Linked DNA regions of Macaca mulatta. The protein of the gene in region 1 interacts with the protein of each later gene in a biochemical or structural test. Links are inferred from orthologs where the notes say so. Each region holds a gene or a part of one and is shown on either strand. Other genes may lie near its edges. The genes, in order: CSTA, CTSB and CTSL.

Region 1 (3,598 bases):
ATGATGGCCCTCCAAAGATGTCCATGTCCTAATCCCTGGAACCTGTGACTAGGTTCCTTTACACAGCAAAAGAGACTTTGCAGGTGTGATTAAATTAAGGCTCTTGAGATGGAGAGGTTATCCTGGATTATCCAGGTAAGCCCATGCAACCACAGGGTCTTTATTAGAACTATACCCAAATACTGCACTCTAATTAGTATATTGTTTTCCACAGGGGTATAGGTCAGCAATTCTGAAATTATTTTATGTATACGCTAGAACTGAACAAATAGGCAAATACATTGCAAATAATAAGAACCAGGATTCTTCCTCAGCGTTTGAGAAAGGAGTTATAATAAGGAAACGGGAAAAGCTAAATAAGTCCTGTGGTATTTGATTTTTAAAATTTTATCTATTTATTTATTTATTTTATTTTATTTTATTTTATTTATTTTTTTTTTTTTTGAGGCGGAGTTTCACTCTTGTTGCCCAGGCAGGAGTGCAATGGTGTGATCTCATCTCACTGCAACCTCCGCCTCCCAGGTTCAAGCGATTCTCCTGCTTCAGCCTCCTGAGTAGCTGGAATTATAGACACCCAACACTGTGCCCGGCTCATTTTTGTATTTTTAGTAGAGAAGGGATTTTATCATGTTGGTCAGGCTGGTCTCAAACTCCTGACCTCAAGTGATCCACCCACCTCGGCCTCCCAAAGAGCTGGGATTACAGGCATGAGCCACCACGCCCGGCCGTGGTATTTGATTTTAATCAGAGGAAAAAATATATATATGTGTGTGTGTGTGTGTATATACATATACATATACACACACACACACACATATATACACATATATATATACACACATGCACATACACACACATACCCATACACACACATATAAAATGACACACACATAAATGTGTGTATATGCACACACATACAAATGAGTAAAGATGTGTGCACATGTGTGTGAGTACACATATTATTTTGTAGCCCTTTCCATTGAGTGGGCCTAGAAGCAATGACATCTAGTAACAAGAGACACAGCACCCAAATCTTGGGTCTTAAATACCATTCTCCAATAAAAGGAGTGGGGACTCCTTGGAGAAATAGTTGATTCCAGCGAGGAGGCAAGGAAACTTCAAGATAAACCTGGAACATCTGACTCTACTTGTGTAGAGTCAGAAAGTTAGGAAGTGCTTATAAAATGATAGAGGTGTGTTGAAAGGACACGGGCATCAGGTGAAGGAGCTCCCAATGGCCAAATCTAGGACATTTGAGTAACAAAATAAAGAGTAATGAATTGTAATCCACAGAGTAAAATAAATATCCATGAGTCATATTAACATAAAATAAGTAATTGACTACATGAAGAGAAGAGAACAGCTCTTCCTTACAGTAGAATTGCAAATAATAAATGTACAAGAAATTACTTTTTAAATTACCATTTGGCCAATACCACAATTAATCATTGTTGTGGGCAAGAACCGTCAATGGATGCTAAAATTCATGAATGCAAGTACAGCGAGAAACAAGACTCCTCACAAGACACTAACTAATTACAAAGGGAAAAAAATGGTAACTTTACAGTGGAGAAACCTGGCAGACATCCTAAGTGATCAAAATTAACATCACCAGTAATGAAATGTAGCTCCTGATAGGATGCACTTAAGCACAACATCACTTTTGTGCTATCCTTACAAAAATGTGTAATACTAACATAAGAGGAGATCACACAAACCTAAACTGAGGGACATTCTACCATTTAACAGGCCAGTATTCTTCAAAAACATCAAGGTTGTGAACAACAAAGGAATGAACCCAGATTGGAGCAGAAAAGAGACATTTTCAGGATAACTGGCAAAATTCTGATAAGGTTTAGAGACTACTTAATAGTGATATACCATGTTAATTTCCTGATTTTGGTGATTATACTATGTTATGTAAAATGGCAAAATTAGGGGAACTGTAAATGATATAAGAGAATTCATTATACTAATTTTACAACTTTTAAGTCTGAAATTATTTTAAAATAATGTTTTAATCAAGTAGTAATTATTGCTCTACTGATTTTTGTTAATCAAAGATATATATAACTCTTAGAGTTTAACAGTCAAAATGCTCCTATATTGCATTACCACACTGAGTTTATGTGAATTCAGCCTAAAGCAACAAAATTTGATGTTTTAACCTATGTAATTGTATTAAAATAGGTGTTTTCTATTGAAATAATAAAAATAGCTCATAGATTTCATTACCATCTTTGAAGACTTTTAGGAGGATGAGGTTCCCAGATGTGTACGTCACATAGATGGAGTCTAATATAGCTTTGATTATTTGTTTCCTCTTTTCTTTTCTTTAGGTTAAACCACAGCTTGAAGAAAAAACAAATCAGAGTTATGAAAAATTGGAAGCTGTGGAGTATAAAACTCAAGTCGTTGCTGGAATAAATTACTACATTAAGGTTAGAGTTCAGTACCTACTTTAGCGCCAAAAGATCTATTTCTCATTTTATGTAAAATGTTCCCTGATTTCCCTACCATATAATTGCTTCCTTACAGTTGTCCTAAATTAAGATGCCTAGCATGATTCCTTCCAAGTGGTAGACTCTCAAATTTGGTAAATGATGTGATGCCATTTTTTTTCTTGTGAATTCAGAAAGCTTTATTACATTGATTCTTGATTTCTGGAAATTGTATAGAAAAAGATTTCAGAACAGTTCAGGGCATGCTGGATTTGTGGCTGTGCTGCTTCTTAGGTAAGGAGGGAGGATCACGTCTCATCTGCCTGAAGGCGTGGGGCTGGACCACATGGTATCTTGAAGCCGATTCCACCTCAAAGCTGTATGATTCTATATGTCTAAATTAAATAAATTAAAGTAACGACTCAAATCATTAGCTGGGAAAATAATTTAAACCTTTTTTGTCCTTTAAATAAGCATTTTGATTAATATAATGTAAATATTATTTTGTAATTCAAATTAGTAGATTTAACTTATGGCACTCTAGGTATAGTTTAAAGCAGTGGAGTAGTTAAAATAGTTTAAAAGTTAATTATATAGCTCTGTCAGAAAATTACACGATGCATTGATCCAGTTCTAATTGAAGTTACCAAGATGAAACCAACTGAACAAGTCAACCATGAATATTTAAGAGCCATTTTTGTCCTTATGTATTAAGAAGATGATAATTCTGATTTTAAAAATAAAAACAAATATTAAAGTATGTTTACTTAATCTTTACTTAACCATTCGACCAGGGCACAGTGTGGCTTATTTCTCTTTAACAAACAATTCAATTAAAATATAAACATTTTAAAAGACGTTTTCAGCAAAAAATAAACATAAGTAAGTGGAGCTAGTCAGCTTAGCATAAGAAAGTTTCAGTACCGAGCTATGTATATGGATCAGCCCTGTTCTGCCAAATGTGAGCTCCTAGTAAAGACCAGGTCACATGTCACAGGGAGCTTTGACCAGGTCACGGGGAGACACATGTCACAGAGGACCCTGCTGTATCCTCAGAAAACAATGGCACCATTTCCTCCATTTTCAATCTGATTTCTTCATGGCTGGAAAAGAACGTTTTCCTGTTAAAAATGATTATGTGCAAAGATAGGAAGCAT
Region 2 (3,650 bases), on another chromosome or scaffold:
CAGGATTCTAAACCAGGGCTATGCAAAGCACTGGAGTTCTTGACCAGCAATGCAAACCAGTGGTATACAAATTCAAAATACTGTATACAGGCTCTGACGCCAGCCCAAACCAAGACTGGAGGGCATCCAGGGGGATGTGGTTCTCCACGGGATGGCATCTTGGTTATGTGAGATCACCAAGACACCAGGCCTATTTTATGAGCTGAATCCTCAGGCTGCTACTGGATTTGTGGCTGATAAAAAAGAGAGGCCAGGCATGGTGGCTCACGCCTGTAATCCCAACACTTTGGGAGGCCGAGGCAGGTGGACCACCTGACGCCAGGAGTTTGAAACAAGCCCGGCCAACATGGTGAATATCGTATCTACTTAAAAATACAAAAAGTAGCCTGGCATGGTGGTGAGTGCCTGTAATCCCAGCTACTCGGCAGGCTGAAGCAGGAGAATCACTTGAACCTAGGAGGCCGCAGGTTGCAGTGAGCCAAGATGGCGCCACTGTACTCCAGCCTGGGCGACAGACAGAGATTCTCTCAACAACAACAAACAGAGCACAGCTGTGTTGTTAGTTCTTAAGCAAGGGCAAGCTTACCAAGGACTTAGAAGGTTGACGAGGACGACAGGGAACTAAGAGGGAGGGATGCCATGGTTGAAAACATGGCTGAGGCAGCGAGAAGTTAAGATGAGATCCCAAGAGTCGCAAGAACATGCAGTTCCAGGACGTAATTCTCTGCAGGGATGAGGATAGACGGCAGCCACAAGTCTATAGGCAGTGACAAATGATCTCTGAGATCCCATCAGAGTCGATTTCAAGATGAAGGAGAAACCTTTTATTGGCACAGGCATTCCTTGTTAACTTGACAGGGTGAAGCAGTAATTCTTTTTTTTTTTTTTTTTTTTTTTTTTTTTTTTTTTTTTTTTTTTTTTTTTTTGAGAAGGAGTCTGGCTCTGTCGCCCAGGCTGGAGTGCAGTGGCCGGATCTCAGCTCACTGCAAGCTCCGCCCCCCGGGTTTACGCCATTCTCCTGGCTCAGCCTCCCAAGTAGCTGGGACTACAAGCGCCCGCCGCCTCGCCCGGCTAGTTTTTTGTATTTTTTTAGTAGAGACGGGGTTTCACCGTGTTCGCCAGGATGGTCTCGATCTCCTGACCTAGTGATCCGCCCGTCTCGGCCTCCCAAAGTGCTGGGATTACAGGCTTGAGCCACCGCGCCCGGCCAGCAGTAATTCTTAAAAAACAGTAAAAGCTGGTTTCTCCTAAACTAGCTTCCTTGTGGTGGTAGAGACCAGTGGGTCAGAAACAAGTCCTCACCACTTGGTTTCGTTTTGAGCCGCGCCATTAGGAGGCAATCTGTACAACTAGCACAGGTGCTCCCAGCTGTTCGACTCACTCACCCACATGATTAGCAGAGTGCACAAAAGAGAAGACTTCTATTAAAAAAGTATCATGCTGAGCACAAGATCAGAGAAGTTGTGACACTGCAAACTCGATAGATGCAGGGGGTCTGGGAGAATGTGGCGTTCTCCAAAGGGCTCCCAACACCATCTCTCCTCTGATCTTATAGCAAATGTGGAAAGCTACTTGCTTAGAGGTACTGGGGGCAACTGATGGGGGGACTTTCATCCTGTTAGGAACTCCGCTTTCCATTCCTGGGTCTCTGTCTTGCTCCCTGGAGATGGATGGATCGGGGAGGGGGCCACAGTCAGGTGGGGCAGCAGGCACTCCCTGTGGCACTGGTCTATAGGGGGAGGACGTGCTGTGCTGGCAGCAGTGGCTCACATGGCCTAACTGTCTGCACTGTAACCACAGGCTGGGATGTAGCCAGGATTTGGGATGTCTCCCCTTGGAAGACAGCTCTGATGGCTGATGTGAGGTTTGGCCAATCCAGTCCTTCAAGCCCTGTCTAAAACTTGTATCTTACGTGAACTCAAAGAATAAAAGGCATTTCTACCCCCATCTCACCCCGATCCCTGACTGTATTCAGGGAAAACTCCCCCAGGCCTGGCAGGACAGGCCCACAGCAGATTAGATCTTTTCCCAGTACTGATCGGTGCGTGGAATTCCAGCCACCACTTCTGATTCGATTCCACAGTGATCCTGTCCTCTGAGGATTTTAAAGAAGCCTGGGAATAAAAAGTAAGGTGCTTTTTAAGTGTGACAAGGGTCAATCAATATATTCAGACTCATCCCTAAAAGACCTGGGAGTAACCACCAATCCCTGGCAGCTCCTGCTGTTTGCCCAGTAGCATAGCCCTCAGCACCATGAGGCTTCTGGAGGCAGCTGTGGGGCACACCTCCACTGACAACCCTCCTGCCCCGTCACCGCCCCCATCACGGCATCTGGCGCGATGCTGTGGGAACTGTGGCAGGCGTGGGCTCTGAAGCTGCTCGGGGTCTGCCCTTGCAGCAAAAGGAAACTCCTGGGTGCCTGGCACATAGGAGGAGCTCACAGCCTGGCCTTAGGTCTAGGGTTTGAGGCTGTGCAGCAGGTAGAACAGAGAAAGCCGAGACGGGCACTGTGTGTGGCTCACAATTCCCTGTTCTCGACAGGAAGGGGCCGCCACTCACCATTGTCACCCCAGTCAGTGTTCCAGGAGTTGGCAACCAGCCAGTATGGTGTGCCGTTCTCCACTCCCCAGCCCAGGATGCGGATGGCATGGCCGCCCATCATCTCTCCGGTGACGTGTTGGTACACACCTGAAAAGAACCGGCTGAGACCAAGACCAGGCCACTGGCCCGCACCCCACAGTACCCCCCACACTCCGCTGGTCACCCTCCGGGCAGGAGAAACAGCTTCCAGAGGGACCCTGCTGCTCCATCAGAAGGCTCCAGGGTTACCACAACACTGGGGAATATTAAATATATTTCTGAAGGCCCAACACACTCAAATCTGTTGAGTAAATATTAAAATAGATTCCTACAAAATGTGCTTGTTGGTTGTCTTTAAAAATAGAATTTCTAATACATTCTAGTTTGTAAAACATTTAATGTTAGGTGACAGATTCATCTGCTCTATACACTGGGATTCCATCTAAGTAAGGGTTTGTCAGAAGGGTTACACGGCTTAAAGAGTTTTAACAGCTGCTCCAGGTACACCCTGGAGAGGTGAGGGAGAAGGGCGGGCTGGTGGCGGCCAGTGCTGGCTGATGAGAAAGATACCGGCTAAGGGGTTCAGGACTCCCCAACCAGTCTCCTGTGGTAGGGAAATCACTATCAAAGTGGAAACACATCTTTTAATAATATGGGCAAGGACTGTGCTAAGAACTACCATCTTTACAGTCATTTTTTCTTGCCAGAATCATCCTCCTTTGTCAAACTGTTGTTTTATATAGAGCTGAGAGCTTTGGAGTTTCCCATCTAGCAAAATATTAAAGAGATCGATGCAGTCAGCAAAGACCGTTCATCTGGAGCAAGGGATTTCTAAGACAGGACTTGGGGATGGGGACTGTCCAGATTCCTTGGTTCGAGTCCCTACAGCACTGCCCAGGGCAAGGTCCCTGCGTGTTCATCCACTGGTGTGAGGCATGATCTAGGCCTTTGCAAAGACAAAGATGAAGAAAATGTGCCAGCCAGTGCAGATACAAAAGGCCTGCCGTTTTAACGGGAACATGCTGGTAAAGCAATGCAAAGCCATGAAGGCGAGGGCAGGCATGTCAGCC
Region 3 (4,120 bases), on another chromosome or scaffold:
ATTGTGCTTCTAAAAGAGTTATCAGTTTAATCTTCAGTAGAACTCAACTGACAAACAGAAATACACAATGACTTCATTTTTCACAAAGTCAAAATATGCATACGAAAAGGTTATGGGGGAAAAGGCAGAGGTAATTATTTTTTCCCCGAAAGGTATTTTCTACGACGAATGTTTTTATGTAATAAAAAAATAAAATGACAAAAGTTTAGAATGTTTGTGGGTTTTGTTCGTTAAATGCTTAATTATATAAATTAATATATACATTAGATTAAGATACATATTTTTCCTCTATCTACAACATTTCTGCATTCTCTGTATCTTAAATCCTGACATTAAATGTCATTAAATTTCTTAAATCTCAAGAGAACGACTTGGTTACCAAGGAAGATATAATCCATAACCTAGAGAGTGGGCGAATAAAAGCAGCTTCTAATGTTATCAACTGCTTTTCTCCTGTCAACCAAATGTTTCTGTAAATAACTCCTTTCTGTTGGTTTTGGGAAAGACGTGGGAGAAAGAAGAATCTCTGAATGGAGGAGTCTGGAAAGGATGCTTGACAAAACGCCCGCGCTCTCTGGAGACGCAGCCAGTCTTCTCCCTCCTAGGGTCTGGTCTTGACGATAGCATCTCGTGTTTTGGGGACGCCTTTCCCTACCAGATTCTTCTAAAGCCCAGCTGCACCCACCCTTAAGTGGGAGATAAGGCTTCTGCCCGCGGGCTCTGCGTTCTTCCACCCGGCCCCACCTTTGCTGTGGACTAAACAGGAGCCACTGGACTAGAGTACACTGGCTCTCGGCTATGCGGACCAAAGATTCCAGGACTAAGGAAAAGCTAGGTTAGGCTGAAAGTCCATACTGGGCTTGCTGTAAACGTCTTTTCAGGAGCCACCTGCCCAGTGCAGTAAGTCGGGTACTTAGTTGATTCGAGCGCTCCAGGGAGACGCCCGACCCTACTCTGCGCAGCCTCGGGGTACCAGCTCCGCTTCCCCCAAGTCCACTGAGGCAGGCGCGCCCCGCTCTGGGACAGTCAGTAAACAAGCCACGAACAGCGCCAGGGGTCAGAGTACCCAGAGGCCCCGCCCAGCTGCCGGCACAGCCAATCGTAGCGCAGCCAGGCGGTGGGGCGGTGCCGGCGGAGCCCAGACCCGAGGTTTTAGAGGCAGAGTCGGGCGAAGCTGGGCCAGAACCGCGACCTCCGCGACCTCCGCAACCTCAAGAGCGGCATCCGTGGAGTGCGCCTGCGCAGCTACGACCGCAGCAGGAAAGCGCTGCCGGCCAGGCCCAGCTGGGGCCGGACAGGGACTGGAAGAGAGGACGCGGTCGAGGAGTTGTGCACCAGCCCTGGCAACGAGAGCGTCTGCCCTGAGCTCTGCCGGCCTTAAGGTGGGGAAGCGGGGGAGGGCAATTAAGGACCCCGCGGAAGCGCGGAGACCACGCAGGCGGGGTCCCTGGTTGAGCGGGCAGGCTAGCCTCCGAGCCGGGTGGACACAGGTACCGCAGCCAGGCCGCGCCGCGCCGACTCATGGCCTGGCCCGGTCAGACAGGGAAGCTCAGTTCCCGCACGCCAGACAGCGGTGCTCCTGCTGGCGTCACCGCAAACATCCTCTGACCGCTGCAGCCTGTGTGTGGCGCAGGCGTCACGTCCCCGGCCTTGCCACGCCTGGAGCCCTGGCAGCTGGCTGCGGGGCGCTGGCTTCCCGCGTGCGGCCATATGACCCCGTCCCTGATTTAGGGGAGCAATTTGGGGTGTCGGCAGCACAGGCCCAGGTGAGTGAAGGAGGGAGCAGTGTGTGCTGTCCCTCCCAGTTTTTCCTGGGAAAGCATTTCAGAAGGGTTTCTTTTAAGGAGAGGTTGGGGCAGGCACGCTGGCTCACGCCTGTAATCCCAGCACTTTGGGAGGCTGAGGTGGGCGGATCACCTGAGGTCAGGAGTTCGAGACCAGCCTGGCCAACATGGTGAAACCCCGTCTCTACTAAAAATACAAAATTAGACAGGCAAGGTGGCACACGTCTGTAGTCCCAGCTAGTCAAGAGACTGAGGAAGAATGGCTTGAACCCGGGAGGCGGAGGTTGCCGTGAGCTCAGATCGCACCATTGCACTCCAGCCTGGGCGGCAGAGCAAGACTCCATCTCAAAAAAACAAAAACGGAGAGGTTGGAAAACATATCTCAGCTTCAGCTGTTTGTTAGTCAAGAAGATGTGTGAAGGCCTCCTAATTCTTGGGGATCTCTTTGTCACTACTTGGGAATCCCACCTTATCATTATTGAGGTTTTGCCTGGGCACAAAACCTGGGATTTTTGCCATTGGTACAAAACCTGGATCAACTGTTTCCTGGTTTCCTAGTTGTTGCCTTAAGCTTCTCACCCACAAGGTGCTTTCATACCTTTCTCATAACCTAAATTATCATCCCATAAACTGTTTAAACTCTTACAGCTCTAGCCGGGCTGCTTTTCATTTTGGTGGGTCCATCCAGCACCTCCATGTGCCCTGTTTTTCTCCAGGCACATCCTTGGCCTCTTCCACAGTCCTTGGGTAAATGCTTGGAAGGATAATTTAAATATTTTTATTCTACGATGGTGGCCCTAATTTTTCAAGGGGCAGTAAGATTGCTTTTTAGGATCAGTCTAATCAGATCCTCATTTCTTTTCCCTTCCTAGGTTTTGAAACATGAATCCTACATTCATCCTCGCTGCCTTTTGCCTGGGAATTGCCTCAGCTACTTTAACATTTAATCACAGTTTAGAGGCACAGTGGACCAAGTGGAAGGCGATGCACAACAGATTATACGGCATGGTTAGTGGTATCTGAAACTTCCCCAGAAAAAATAGTCTTGGCTGTTGAGAAGTTTTAGACAGAGAGTAGCTTCTAGAGGCCAGCTTTCACCAGTAGCCTAATATAATAACCTAATGGCACCGATTATGAGCACAGTATGGGCATTCATCCCTTTTCTGTCTCAATTTGGGGAACAGCATCCCCAGAGGTGTCAAGCCTTCCCTGGCCGTGGTTTCTCTTCCATCTCTGTCTGCAGAATCACTTGGTGAGCATGAGTTGGGTTTTAGGTAGAAATAAAGAGCATCAGTTACATGTTTGCCTCTAGAATGAAGAAGGATGGAGGAGAGCAGTGTGGGAGAAGAACATGAAGATGATTGAACTGCACAATCAGGAATACAGCCAAGGGAAACACAGCTTCACAATGGCCATGAACACCTTTGGAGACATGGTGAGTGTGCTGTGGACCGCCGAGCTCTGTGCTTCCTCCCCTCAGTTCTTTACTAAAGTAATCTCTTGCTTTTCAACATTTTATTTCCTTTTCCTTGAAGACCAGTGAAGAATTCAGGCAGGTGATGAATGGCTTTCAAAACCGTAAACCCAGGAAGGGGAAAGTGTTCCAGGAACCTCTGTTTTATGAGGCCCCCAGATCTGTGGATTGGAGAGAGAAAGGCTACGTGACTCCTGTGAAGAATCAGGTGAGACAGTGTCAGGGCCAGACCTCCCATCTTCCCAGGAAAGCCAAGAAGTGATTGACATCTTTGTTTTGGTAGACTTTAAAGCGATGTGCGGTTCACTTTTTAACAGTATTCAGATGTGTGAGCTGTTGTCAAAGTCTTACTATTTTTTTGTGAATGACAGCTTTTTTTATTCCCTCTTCAGGGTCAGTGTGGTTCTTGTTGGGCTTTTAGCGCTACTGGTGCTCTTGAAGGACAGATGTTCCGGAAAACTGGGAAGCTTGTCTCACTGAGTGAGCAGAATCTGGTAGACTGCTCTGGGCCTCAAGGCAATGAGGGCTGCAATGGGGGCCTAATGGATTATGCCTTCCAGTATGTTGCCGACAATGGAGGCCTGGACTCTGAGGAATCCTATCCATATGAGGCAACAGTAAGTGGAGCTCCTTGTCGTCATTCCAGCGCAGCTTTTGGGAGGTGGAACACTTTTCAGAGATAACAGATACCTTTTTCGGAATTCATGTATTAGGGCTGGGTGGGGTGGCTCACGCCTATAATCCCAGCACTTTAGGAGGCTGAGCCGGGTAGATGGCTTGAGCTCAGGAGTTTGAGACCAGCCTGGGCAACAAGGTAAAACCCTGGCTCTACCAAAACTACAAAGAAAGTTAGCTGGCTGTG

Evidence for each region.
Region 2: the proteins of CSTA (region 1) and CTSB form a complex in vitro, tested with the Homo sapiens proteins (3 studies listed by BioGRID and IntAct, with this or other methods). The link is inferred for Macaca mulatta from reciprocal best matches to the Homo sapiens genes CSTA and CTSB.
Region 3: the proteins of CSTA (region 1) and CTSL form a complex in vitro, tested with the Homo sapiens proteins (2 studies listed by BioGRID). The link is inferred for Macaca mulatta from reciprocal best matches to the Homo sapiens genes CSTA and CTSL.

The regions. Positions count from the first base shown.
Region 1 is NC_133407.1:161,426,979-161,430,576, reverse strand, and holds part of CSTA (cystatin-A), read left to right. Parts: intron 1-2,339; coding exon 2,340-2,441; intron 2,442-3,598. UniProt on the Homo sapiens protein: This is an intracellular thiol proteinase inhibitor. Has an important role in desmosome-mediated cell-cell adhesion in the lower levels of the epidermis.
Region 2 is NC_133413.1:9,446,653-9,450,302, reverse strand, and holds part of CTSB (cathepsin B), read right to left. Parts: intron 2,689-3,650; coding exon 2,540-2,688; intron 2,136-2,539; coding exon 1,950-2,135; 3' UTR 1,199-1,949; exon of another isoform or gene 1,186-1,198; intron 955-1,185; exon of another isoform or gene 851-954; 3' UTR 1-850. UniProt on the Homo sapiens protein: Thiol protease which is believed to participate in intracellular degradation and turnover of proteins. Cleaves matrix extracellular phosphoglycoprotein MEPE. Involved in the solubilization of cross-linked TG/thyroglobulin in the thyroid follicle lumen.
Region 3 is NC_133420.1:118,468,677-118,472,796, forward strand, and holds the start of CTSL (procathepsin L), read left to right. Parts: upstream 1-1,181; 5' UTR 1,182-1,382; intron 1,383-2,656; 5' UTR 2,657-2,666; coding exon 2,667-2,792; intron 2,793-3,096; coding exon 3,097-3,219; intron 3,220-3,319; coding exon 3,320-3,466; intron 3,467-3,650; coding exon 3,651-3,875; intron 3,876-4,120. UniProt on the Homo sapiens protein: Thiol protease important for the overall degradation of proteins in lysosomes. Plays a critical for normal cellular functions such as general protein turnover, antigen processing and bone remodeling.